2 linked regions of the Drosophila melanogaster genome follow. The protein of the gene in region 2 interacts with the protein of the main gene of each other region in a pairwise test. Each region holds a gene or a part of one and is shown on either strand. Other genes may lie near its edges.

Region 1 (4,907 bases), on a different chromosome or scaffold from region 2:
GAAAGGGTTGTCAAGCAGTTACTTCCGTAATCTTATGCTTATTTAAATATACTATTCTTTAAAAAACTTATAATTTCATTTTAACAGAATATATTTATATATTTACAATAAAACATTATGCATTTTTTCTCTTTTCATGGAAATCCATAACAAGCCACAATCTTTTCAATTAACATTATCACACTATTTCATGTTGATTGCTGATTGCAGCTGTGCCTGCAAATGTTTTAAATCGCCCATTCAATAATAACTTTCATTTTATTGAATAGTTTTAGGAGATTACCATAACATAAAATAAACGTTCTATTCAAAGCAAATTCGCTAAATATTTCACTGAAAACATTTATAATTTTATGTAATTAAAACGTGAATTTAGAGTGAACTAGAAATCAAAATCAGAGTTCAAAATAATAGCTGGCCTATGCCAAAATAACATTGGAATACAGAAAATTCATAAATAAATCATCAATTTATCAATGCATAACAATTGCGCAATGTTAATTTTCAAACTGCTGTTTACCAATTTGCTCTTGAGTGGATTTGGTTTAATTAGTGCCGTTTCTGCTCTAACTGTCTATGAAATCAATTCAAATATCTAAACAATAAGTGCGTTCTGTAACCTATACGGCAGTGCAAATATAGGCCATAACCCATGCCCTCGTATTCACACATCTGAAAGTTATTTAATCCGCTCAGCAATTTCGATTGCCATTTATTCACTGGCAGAGTTCAAGACAAGTGCATTTCAGCATACCCGAATTCCACATGCGGACATAAATATTTGAGTAATTGATTTCCCAAGTCGACGATGGGAAAACTTCCAATTTCTTGGCTTGACTACTTTTGGGCCAATGCAAATGGTTTATTTTTGACCGCAGAATCCTTCGACTTGAGCGGACAGTTGAGGTTCTCGAACTAATTGCAAAATTGTCAATGATTTATTCAGTTGGCAATTAAGGTGCCAACTAACGGTGTGGCTGGCACGGCTATATCGATTTGAAAATATTCAATAATCCCGGAGCCTTGATAAGCTCATCAAACATGCACATGGCCATCAGCAGGGGGGGGCAAGTTTGTATTTAGAGCCAAGTGTGTTTGGTGAAGGGGGGTTAGCTGTATATTTCAGGGTTTCCCCTTTTTTTGTCGAGCGGTTTGGGGGGGGGTTTTGCGAGGGGACACAAAAGTACAAGTTGCTATGGATCAAGCTCAAGGCGTGGCAGTTGGGCATTAGCTCTATGGTGGAGCACGGCAACCAAGCGAACAAAGGTCAACTCGACAAGTGAGTTAAATGACAAGGACCTCACCTTGCCTTCCTTGGGCTTCGGCTTTGGCTTTGGCCCGTGCGTGTTTGCATGTTTGGCTCGATGAGGCGACGCGACCCCAAAAATGAAACTCAACTTTGGCTTTGACTGCGGCTCGGGATTGTGGCGTGCAAGCATTATGGCCTTTCGCTTTCAAAACAATGCCCCCATCCTGTTTCCCGGTTGGCCTAGTGGCACTTGCTCCTTGTTGTTGGTTTTTCGCATTGCCCTTGGCCAATTGCGAGTGAATTTTGATGTTTTGACTGGCCATTCCTGGGGCCATTTGACAACTCTATAAAACCGGTGTCCTTAAGCCCGCCCTCGTCCTTGCGCCCAACCCCCAATTACCGTCCAACTACCACCCACCTACACCCCGCTACACCCACCCACAAAGTAAACGTAATTGCCCGGAGAGTTTCGCGACTTTCGACTTGGCCAGCAAACTGAAAAAGCGAAACTTCAAAAAACCCGACTTGACTTGGCAACTGGAAAAGTGGAAAAGCGGAAGCACGAGCTTTCCCACCGAAAAGCTCTCGTGCTCTAAGCTTTCGTCCTGGCGAGGCGAAAACGTAAATGTCAGTCATGGAGTTCCAGTCGTCGGATACATGTGGAACACAACGAACACAGCAGGAGCCTCTCGCGTCTCATCCCCCGAATACAATGCGAAAAAGTCTGTACAAAAAATAGACAAATAAGGAGCAGGAGCGAAAACACCACTCTGTGCATAAGATATAACTCCCGCAGAACTGAATACCTGCAAAAAGAAATACGCGTTAAATGGAATTACGGTGCGGGAATTGATAAAGTGAAGTGTGTTACAGCTAGAAAGCAAGTGAAATAAAACGAATACATTAATAATTCATGCCCCTCATAGTCAGAAGCTTACTAGTTTGATAAGGAATTCAACGTAAATCTGATATAGTAATGTAGAAAAGTTGTACAAAGTAATATACATAGCATATAGCATATAGCACAGTTACACAGAACACACCGCAAACTCAAACAAAGTTGACAAAAAAAAAGCTCACGCCCCTCACATCTCAGTTTTTTCTCGAATTATTTGTGAAAGTGCAACAAACATATATAAAAAATAAAAAAGAAAAGGGAGGAGAGAGCACAGCAAAAAAAGGCAGTGACAGCAGGACCTGCAAAGGAATTGCCATCATTTGGGGATTACGGAATTATCGGGATCCGTTCTCATTAAAATGGATTTAAGGCAATGCCGATGTGCTGAGCTGCATTTGTGCATGGGATTATCGATTGTAATGCGCAGTCATCAAATTATGTTTGAACAACGCCGCCGCGACAGCGATAATAGCAACAATAACAACAACAACAACAACCAAATCAACAACAAACACTGATTTGGCCCCTGACCCCCTTTGGCAGCACCCCCTCCATCCAACACCCCCTACGACCCTGCCCAAGCAAAAGGAGCAGCGAAAAAGAAGAAGCGTCTTATGAAACAATTGAAGCACCGGCCAAAGGAGCAAAGGAGCAGACAAAGACAGAGACAAAAACATCGGCAAAGGATAAAACGGAGGCCGAGAAGAAGAGGAAGCAGTAGTAGCAAAGCAGGAAACAACAACAACAACAACCGCAACATCGCATTTTTAAACGGCAATACGCAAAGTAAGTGAAGTGTAAAGTGAGCGAGATGGCAATAGAAAGGTGTAGAGTGCCGCGAAGAGAGGCGGAGAGAATACACTTGCAAAAATGTGAGCAGCTAATTCCCAGGGATGTTAAAAAAAATTAAACCCTCATGGTTCAAAGATTCTAGGAGATGGACAAGTGATGAATGGTCAGTGGAAATATATGTATGTTTTAAGCCAAGTGAAATCAAAATGATTTGAGAAGTACAAATAAAAGAAAGAAAGGAAAGAATGATATATGATATTTATTGGTTGTAGTACAGGAAAATAATAGTTAAAATGATATCCCGGATTGATGGTCATTACAATGATCGTACCACAAAACTCTTTCTAACTCAAATTAAATTGTTAAAATTATTTTTCAATACAAATTTGATATATTTTTGTTTTTTCGCCGACAAGATGCATAGATCTTTCATAGAATCTGAAATCTATATCTTTTTTATATTGCTTTTGAGAAGAGTAAACCGATCATCATCTACGATCACTCCTTTTTGTTCTGTGTAGGTATGAAGAGAGCAGGTGGGAAGGCAGTGAAGTGAAGTGAAGCATTTGTCGCATTTGTGCAGAATTCCCGACGTAATTAATGTTTAAAGTCTGTGTGTGTGTATGTGTGCGAAGGTTTGTAAACTAGGTCACTAGGAAGTTAGCCCCTTGACGACCATCCCCTCTCATCAGCGCCTCTTCAGCGGCAACTCTACGTCAAAGGTGTCAACTCGCCAAATCTGCAACCACACCTTAGTTAAGTGAGCCACCCCGTAGCCACCAAAATTATCCACAGCACCACCACCTTTTATTCGTCCTTAACACACCGCCATGATTAACGCGCCTCAGTGCGATTAACTGGCAAACAAATTTGGAGTGACGCTGCGGCGATGTACATACATACATATATGTATGCATGTTTGTGCTAAACCGACAGCATTTCCATTCAATAACACACGCGGCTCGTATGCAAACACTGTAAAAAGGTTTTATGCTAAAAAAGACGCCGTATTTGTGCATGAAAAACTGTCATTCATCATCCAACCAACACAAATAACCGGTAATGGCATCGCCACATTATGGCTTTGTATTTTTTACATCCTCAAACACAAAAAAACTTTAGTTGATTTCTGACTTGCATCGCATTCATCACCCACTAAAGTCGAGCAATCAATCCTCAAAATACGTATACGCACTGTTAGTTCAGTTGATTAATAGGCTAATTATGAAGGAAACTGAAAGGAAACACTAAATCAATAAATCCTGGCAAATTAGCATCAGTATATATTTGTGTTAGTGCAAACATTTAAGTTTTCTATCAATTTTAAATACAAATATGTTCAGAATTAAGATATATTTCAAAGGGAACTATGCTTTGTTTAATTAAGATTTAAGGTTTTATAACTATAAAAGCCTTCAAAATGTGCCATCTATTTTATATTCACTTACAAGCAGATTTCAATCAAGACCACTCTTTAATATGATATATTATGTCTAGAACAACCGAGAAGGCACTCTTAAATTAAATATTTTAGTACCGTAATAAATTATGAAACGTGCTGACGGTAAAATATATAATACAATTCATACTTTAAGTTATATTTTTTTTTTGCCCTATATGGTTTTACGTATCGGTGTGTATGTGAGTACCTCGCACACGCAGGACATAGAGATAAAAAGGCTTCTCCCACATAAAAGTTCTATTCTGTTTTTTTTTTTTTATAGAAAAATATTGCTGGCAGGAGTTTAGAACATTGCCAAAGGGGATGCGGACAGATGAAGGGGCGGGGGCGTGGCGGGTAAAAGCCATAAAACTCAGGCGCCGAAGCGCAAAATGCCCTTGCCCTGAACAAAAAGAAGAAATTGAACAGCAACAACCAACAACAAAAACAAAGAAGAACAAGAGCAAATAAAATACAAACTGCTTATTTATTTATTTGTTTCGACAAATCTCAATTGAAACAAAGCT
Region 2 (6,601 bases):
GAGCAACTTGATGGGAAGCCAAACTTACGCCATAATTGCGGCAAGCGATATGCGTTATTTCCGGCAGACACAGATCCTTGTTGCAGTAATCCGTAGATAACGCCTCCTGGCTGATAAGGACTATTATAAGGACTGAAAGAAGGTACAACATCTGGTGCCGATTGCTGGAGTCAAAATACAAAACTATTTTGAAGAAAACTGATCTATCTATACAGCGTAAAATCCATTGTAACTGCCTAAATGCAGCGTGACAATTCTATAATATATAGAGCTATTACTAGTTTTATTTCCAACAGACAGCCATATTCAACAAGGAATCCAAAAAGCTAGAAGGTTATTATTAAGATATAAAATTTACAATATGTGTAAAACATTGGAATTTCGCATGACTCAATTAAATCAAGGTAATAAAAACATAAAACATAATTGCGCATCTCAACTAAGAAAATAATAAATAAAAACTTTCGATTGGAATGTAAATCCACTAGTAATCTTTAGAAACCCATTTACCCACTGCTTTTTCATTGGCAAAAACATCCGAGTGCAGAAGTAATTGAAAACATGTTTGCATTTCTTGTTTTTGTGATTTTGTGAAAGTGCACATCGAAACAAATGTGCTTCAGTTGCATTTGATGTGCACTTCACTGGTTTATTACAATTAACACTTCATGTAGTTCAGTTTGGTTTTCGTTTTGGATTTGCTTAATATAGATGTATAAATAGAAGGTTGCGCTTAAGTTATATGTACACTTTACATACATCACATGGAATATAAAAATGGCTCGTTGTGCGATCGCTTTCACTTGGTTTTTTACCAGGAGTTTGGAGTTTTTTATGCAAGAAAACATGGAAAGTAAAGTGTTCAGCTGAGTAAAAAAGCTATAACGAGACGGAAAGGGGATCCTCAGTTCACAGTGCGATTTCACTGGCCAAAGTGGGGATTGTAGGGAGCTTGCTTCTCATATCCAGCGGGCATAACACTAGGTCCTGGATTAGCCATGGACATGTCATACGGCGGCGGATTCATGTTGGCAGCCCCGGCGCCAGGATACGTCGGATACGCCACGCCATGCGTTTGCTGACTGCAATGGATAAAAGCATATCAATTAATATTTGCGTTTCGCTGGAGCACTAGCTTCCACTTACCCCGGCATCGGCATAGGCATTGGCATTTGCTGCTGGTTCTGGTGGCTCATCGGCATGGGCATCTGCACAGTCACGTTGCTGCTGGGAAAATGGGGACATTAGAATAGTTTGCGGCAGCACTTTAGGCTCCGTACTTACCCGGTGGTCTGTACGGGGTACGAGGTCGCAGTTACGTAGGCATTGCTCGATGGATAGCCCGGCGGAGGCAGCTGTGTGACCGGATATCCGCCGGGAGCCGTGTGGGTGGCGGAGGTCACCACCACAGGCGCTGAAAGTAGAAAGAACGGAAAAAAAGAAATTAGAAACAGAAAATAGCTGCGCCAATGATTCTGAATCATCGCCAACCGCGAATCGCAGACTCGATAAGCTCCCACTTTTGATTAGACTCATCAGTGTGAACAAAAATTCCCCTTTCAGCACTATAAAAAATTTTCAATATTATATTAATCTAAATTAATGTAAGTCATAAAAACTTGATGTATATTATATTTTGCTTTTTTAATTTCATTTGGGGTTTTTTTGGTGTAATTTCTGTGCTTTTTTTTTTTTTTGAGCTTTTAATCTTATCCACTCAATTTATTTATAGAAAAGGGTAATAACAAGCCCGTGTCACGTTTATATGCACTATAAATACATTTTGTGTTATAATTAATATAAAAAATATTTTTAAAACATATACTGCCTGTATCGAAAACCAAGAATAAGAAAATACTTCACACTTAGACAAATAAGATAAGGCTCAACAAAATTTGCTGCACCACTATTTCTTTAAGTGTAATTGGCAATCCATTCATTGCTCAGTCAATGTAATTACCAACGCCTTCGCTGATTGTGTAGCCAACATTTCGCGCTGCTTTCTGCCTGCGTCTAATGCAAACAACGAAGGAAGTAATGAAAAATATGGCAAAGGCTATAGATAATCCAACCCAGAATGCCCACATTCTCGATAAGTCAGGGAATTTAGCTCGAAAAAACACAATCGCTTTCCAGGCGAACACAGAACAGACTGCAAGTCCTATGTCTGACAAAACCCACTCACTCGGACCGCGTCTAATCAATGTTCGATTTTATGGCCAATACGATAAGCGGGTGGTGTACTTGCATTATGGTTTTGTTTATCTCTGATATTGGCAGTACGAAACAGCTTCAAAATTACATAAATCATAAAACATAAATAACTCTTCCCGTAGCTGCAGCTATTTACCCATGGATCTGAACTTCTTGGCTATGCAAAAGAAGCAGAGGCACATCAACGAGGCAATCACTATGAAGACTGAGACTGCTATGATGGGAATAACAAACGGCTCCATCGCGAATATTATTCTATACACGCTGAACTGGTGCTACAGCGTGGAGTTCACGATTTCAACTGTTTCATGACATTGGGGTTTTTGTGTTTTTTTTTTTTTTTTGTGTAAATGGGAGATATTGGAAACCCATTGGACGGCCGCGTTATCGCCACAAACGGGTGATCCCCGAAAACACACCTGCACCCTTGGTGAGCGCCGCTCTCCGGGTTCGACCACGGGTCAGAAATACAGCCGCGGATGTCATGAAAAATACGGAGAAGGTGAAGAAAAGTATCCAGTAGATGCCCGAATCATCCATGATTATGATACTGACTGAATAAGCGGTGCACAAAGACTAAACAAAAGCGAGAAACTAAAGCCGCCGGATTGGCAATCGAAAAAGTGCCAGTAATGGCCAAAGAAAAGGGCAATCACACTCATAAAGATAGCACTTATCAGTGATAACAGTACACTTTCAACCATTATCATAACTTACTTAAATCACCGAGAGCCTGACGACGCTTCCAATGTAGTGCAACCAGGCCGATCAATGCCAAAATGAATATTTTGAAGGTTATGCGAAAAACGGATATGAAAACCACAGAGCGTTCCTGGGACTCCAGCAAGGAGCTGACCTCCGTTTCGTTATTCATTTCGGGAATACGTTTACAAATTGTTCCAATATCGAAAGTCTTCCGGATTTCGAGCAAGATTTAAGGCATATATCACAACAAGGGCAACCAAAACCGTGAGGATACAAGCTTCGTATGCCAGAAATGTCCAGTTTATGTGCAGTCGCTGGGAAATGTCCTCAAACACATCCAATATGGTGGCATTCATCGTGAGGACCTGCGACCTAACTAAATGGGTTTCATAATCATTTTCTGAATTACCCTGCATTTCGGGATCAACGTACGTCAACACTCAATCCTTTATGACCATTAGCCATTAATACCTAATTATTGATTTGCGTTTAGGCGTAAACGAAGCATTTAGTGGCACATTTGGAAATGGAATCCGAAATAGTAGGGAATCACAGTCGTTGTTATCAGCATATATTGCACAAATATAACAATAACACCCAGTCATTACCCACTCCAAACCAAGTCCTAAATCTCAGTATACCAAGATAGCCGGACTATTTCACAACAGAGGCTTTTAAAGTTTAGGATACTGGATAAGAAATTATTTTTAATTGTATTTGGAGGGGAAATTAAAAGCCTTAAATATGTCTTACATCTTTTAATATTAACTCGGATTTCTCATGCAAAAGACTTTACTTCTAGCTAAAGAACTAAATTCGCACACAATCCAAAATTTCTTCTAGACAATGACTTGAATATTTGAACCATAAATAAAATTGACAGTGCAGATAGGAAGCAAAAGCACTAAACCTTGGGCAATACCCATTATTATCATATATTTATCAATTTACAAGATCAAGTTAGGAAATCTAATGCAGACGCTTTGAATGACGTCTTCGAGTAATGGATTTAATTAGAAAAACAAGTTTTTCAGTGTATTAGATGCAGATACCGCTATCATGTGAGTTTTTACCTCTATTTACATGTGGCAATAATGAACAAAGTGACTCAAAGTGGACAATACGCAGAATAGTTTCAAAATGTTGTTAATTTTATCATTAAAAATTATAATTATAAAATAACTACATGCCACTTGATCTAACTACATAAAGCGGAAATTTTTGATTCATTAAGATGTGTCTCTTTTTAAAGCAGACAGCAGCATAAAAATAATAAGTACGGTATCTTAATAATGGGTTACCAACCTTTACAGTTTTTAATCTCCTTTCCAATTTTTAATCGTAGGCATATACAAATGGCCCCAATACAAATGGTCAATACAAAAATCGCAAACACTATAATCAAACTAAAGTCGTCTTCATTTGAATTCGAATTGAAAACATTCACAAAAAGAAAATTCATGATTGCACTGCAAACGCGACCTATAGACTAAGATAACTATCTGAAACTGCAATTATCTGTGAGTGTTAATAGATGCTGAAATAAGAGAGTTGGCTTATCGTACAGATACGTTAAGAATTGCTCTTACCTTCCGTCTTATTGCGTTTACAACAAGAACAACAACACTTGCAATAGCCCCAGATAAAAAGCATAAAAATGATTGCTATTAATCTGGCACCCGCTTCAGGAAGTTTATCGACACTTGGAGCATCGTATTTAGGTGGCGGTGGGAATTCTAAAGGAGGCATCTTTTTTCTAGTAAACACGTTTGACTGCAACGAACTGAGTAAATGAACTGGTCGAACTGTGTGTCTAAGCTCAGATCTTTTTGGACTGAATCTGGGAAAAAATTCAATTCACTAAGCCCTTTTTATTACGATAAGAAAAAGCGGACGAAAAAAAATATGCATGTTATCGTTTAGACTGTGTGTAAAATATTTATCCAGAATACAGAAAACTTATATAACCAGCTGGATTTTCAGTATTTAACAAGTATGGATGAAACAAGTACTACTTAGCTCTTTGTTTAATTTTAGTAATTTAGTGAACCATTCGCACATTTTTGCAGCGTACTTTTAGGCATAACCAACCAGAAGCCGCTAAAATACCCAATAAATATAAATTCTTGTCTTCTTTGTCTTTCCATCTGCTTATAGAGTCTTTGATATGTGACATCATAAATGGTCTCAAATGTATAATACATTTATTAAGATTTACAACGCACAACAAGTACGTAGTTCAATAAAAAAAACAAATTTGCGATCGATTTGAAATTTATGATTTAGTCACTATGAGTCAGAATTACACTCCATTTCCCAATGAAAGCAGTGACAACTACTATGAACTACAATATTACACCGAAGATGATTGAATTATTTGAAATTATAATAGGCTGACAAAAAAGGAAACTTTACGATCGAGCAGAGGTAAATGCAGTACAAAAACAATACATTGAAGAAAACTGCGATTGAAGTATATTTTGCCATTATTGGTCAAATTTTGCTAAATTCCAAATCCCTACCGATCCGAACGAAAGGAGCAAAGAAACTAAAATCTTAAATCACTTTAAATAATTACTCATACGCATAATATACAAAAGGTAAATACCACCATTCGCTTAAAAATTTGATTAGAATAATCATTACTCACTAAGCCGCACTCAAAAAAGTTTAAAAGATTTCATTACTTTTCTATGTGTATATCAAAAATTATGACCTTTGAATAGAAGTTTTTTAAACTTTTCTAAATTACTAAGAACGTAGTAAAACAGCAACATAGCGTTAATGCACCGAATGAATCAAAATATTTAACCAAAATTTGTAGAAAATTAAAATCATGGAAGCAATAAAAAAATAAAATTATTTTTTCAGTACCACATTCTTAAAAAGTACCATTATTTTTTTGAGTACGCTTAAATGTTGTAAACGACTTATAGTGGCTGCATCCGCTTTTTTTTTAAATCTTGTTCTTAATGTTCTGTTCACATCAGAATTAAATAAAACATATATTTTAAGTTCTTAGCAAAGGCAAATAGTGTATCCACTTTTTTTTTGTTTACGAAAAGAAAGCTACTATATATAAAGTAATTTTCTTAAACTTTGAATGTCGTCGTTTTTGTAAACTTTCTTATTTATTAAGCAGTTGATTCGGCAATCTTGTAGTGTTACAACCATGTAATAAATAACGAAACTAAGTAGTTAAACATAAAAAATTAAATAGATTGTTCTCCGTTCTCCATTTTGTTGAACAAAACAAGACACAGGAACTTCACACACGGAGCTTCGTCATCTGACAATTGGGAAGAACACAGGACAGCAACAAAGGATTTCTGCATCGAACTATACTAACTTGCTTCAATCACATCCTTGCCCGCCAGGCGCTGTTTCCTTTTGCGGATCACGTATCCTATGATCATTGCCACGACTCCGCAGAGGACCACAGCGAAAATGGTGCAAAGGATGATGGTGGAGATCTCCAGATCCCTGTCGTTCGGAACGTGCGGCATCCTAATCGAATTACTCACAACAATAGGTATTTACTAACTAATAGATTCTATCGGCAGGCAGTCTTGAGGATAGTTCGATGGGTCTTGAAACTACGCCACGGTGTTCATTACGCAGAGGTTCGACGATTATTGCGAATCGGATTCGATTCCTCGCCGACTTTTGTAAGAGTCCAGAC

The links. Proteins that work in one complex are often made in the same cells at the same time.
Region 1: the proteins of CG17574 (region 2) and GABA-B-R1 interact in a two-hybrid assay, tested with the Drosophila melanogaster proteins (one large-scale study listed by BioGRID).

The regions. Positions count from the first base shown.
Region 1 is NT_033779.5:15,014,464-15,019,370, forward strand, and holds the start of GABA-B-R1 (metabotropic GABA-B receptor subtype 1), read left to right. Parts: upstream 1-1,867; 5' UTR 1,868-2,933; intron 2,934-4,907.
Region 2 is NT_033778.4:12,848,815-12,855,415, forward strand, and holds CG17574 (uncharacterized protein), read right to left. Parts: upstream 4,727-6,601; 5' UTR 4,669-4,726; coding exon 4,509-4,668; intron 2,769-4,508; exon of another isoform or gene 2,755-2,768; coding exon of another isoform or gene 2,634-2,754; intron 2,530-2,633; exon of another isoform or gene 2,457-2,529; coding exon of another isoform or gene 2,351-2,456; intron 2,135-2,350; exon of another isoform or gene 2,088-2,134; coding exon of another isoform or gene 1,961-2,087; intron 1,415-1,960; coding exon 1,285-1,414; intron 1,228-1,284; coding exon of another isoform or gene 1,225-1,227; coding exon 1,147-1,224; intron 1,083-1,146; coding exon 923-1,082; 3' UTR 544-922; downstream 1-543. Other genes in the region: CG30486 (uncharacterized protein), read right to left, coding at 29-151.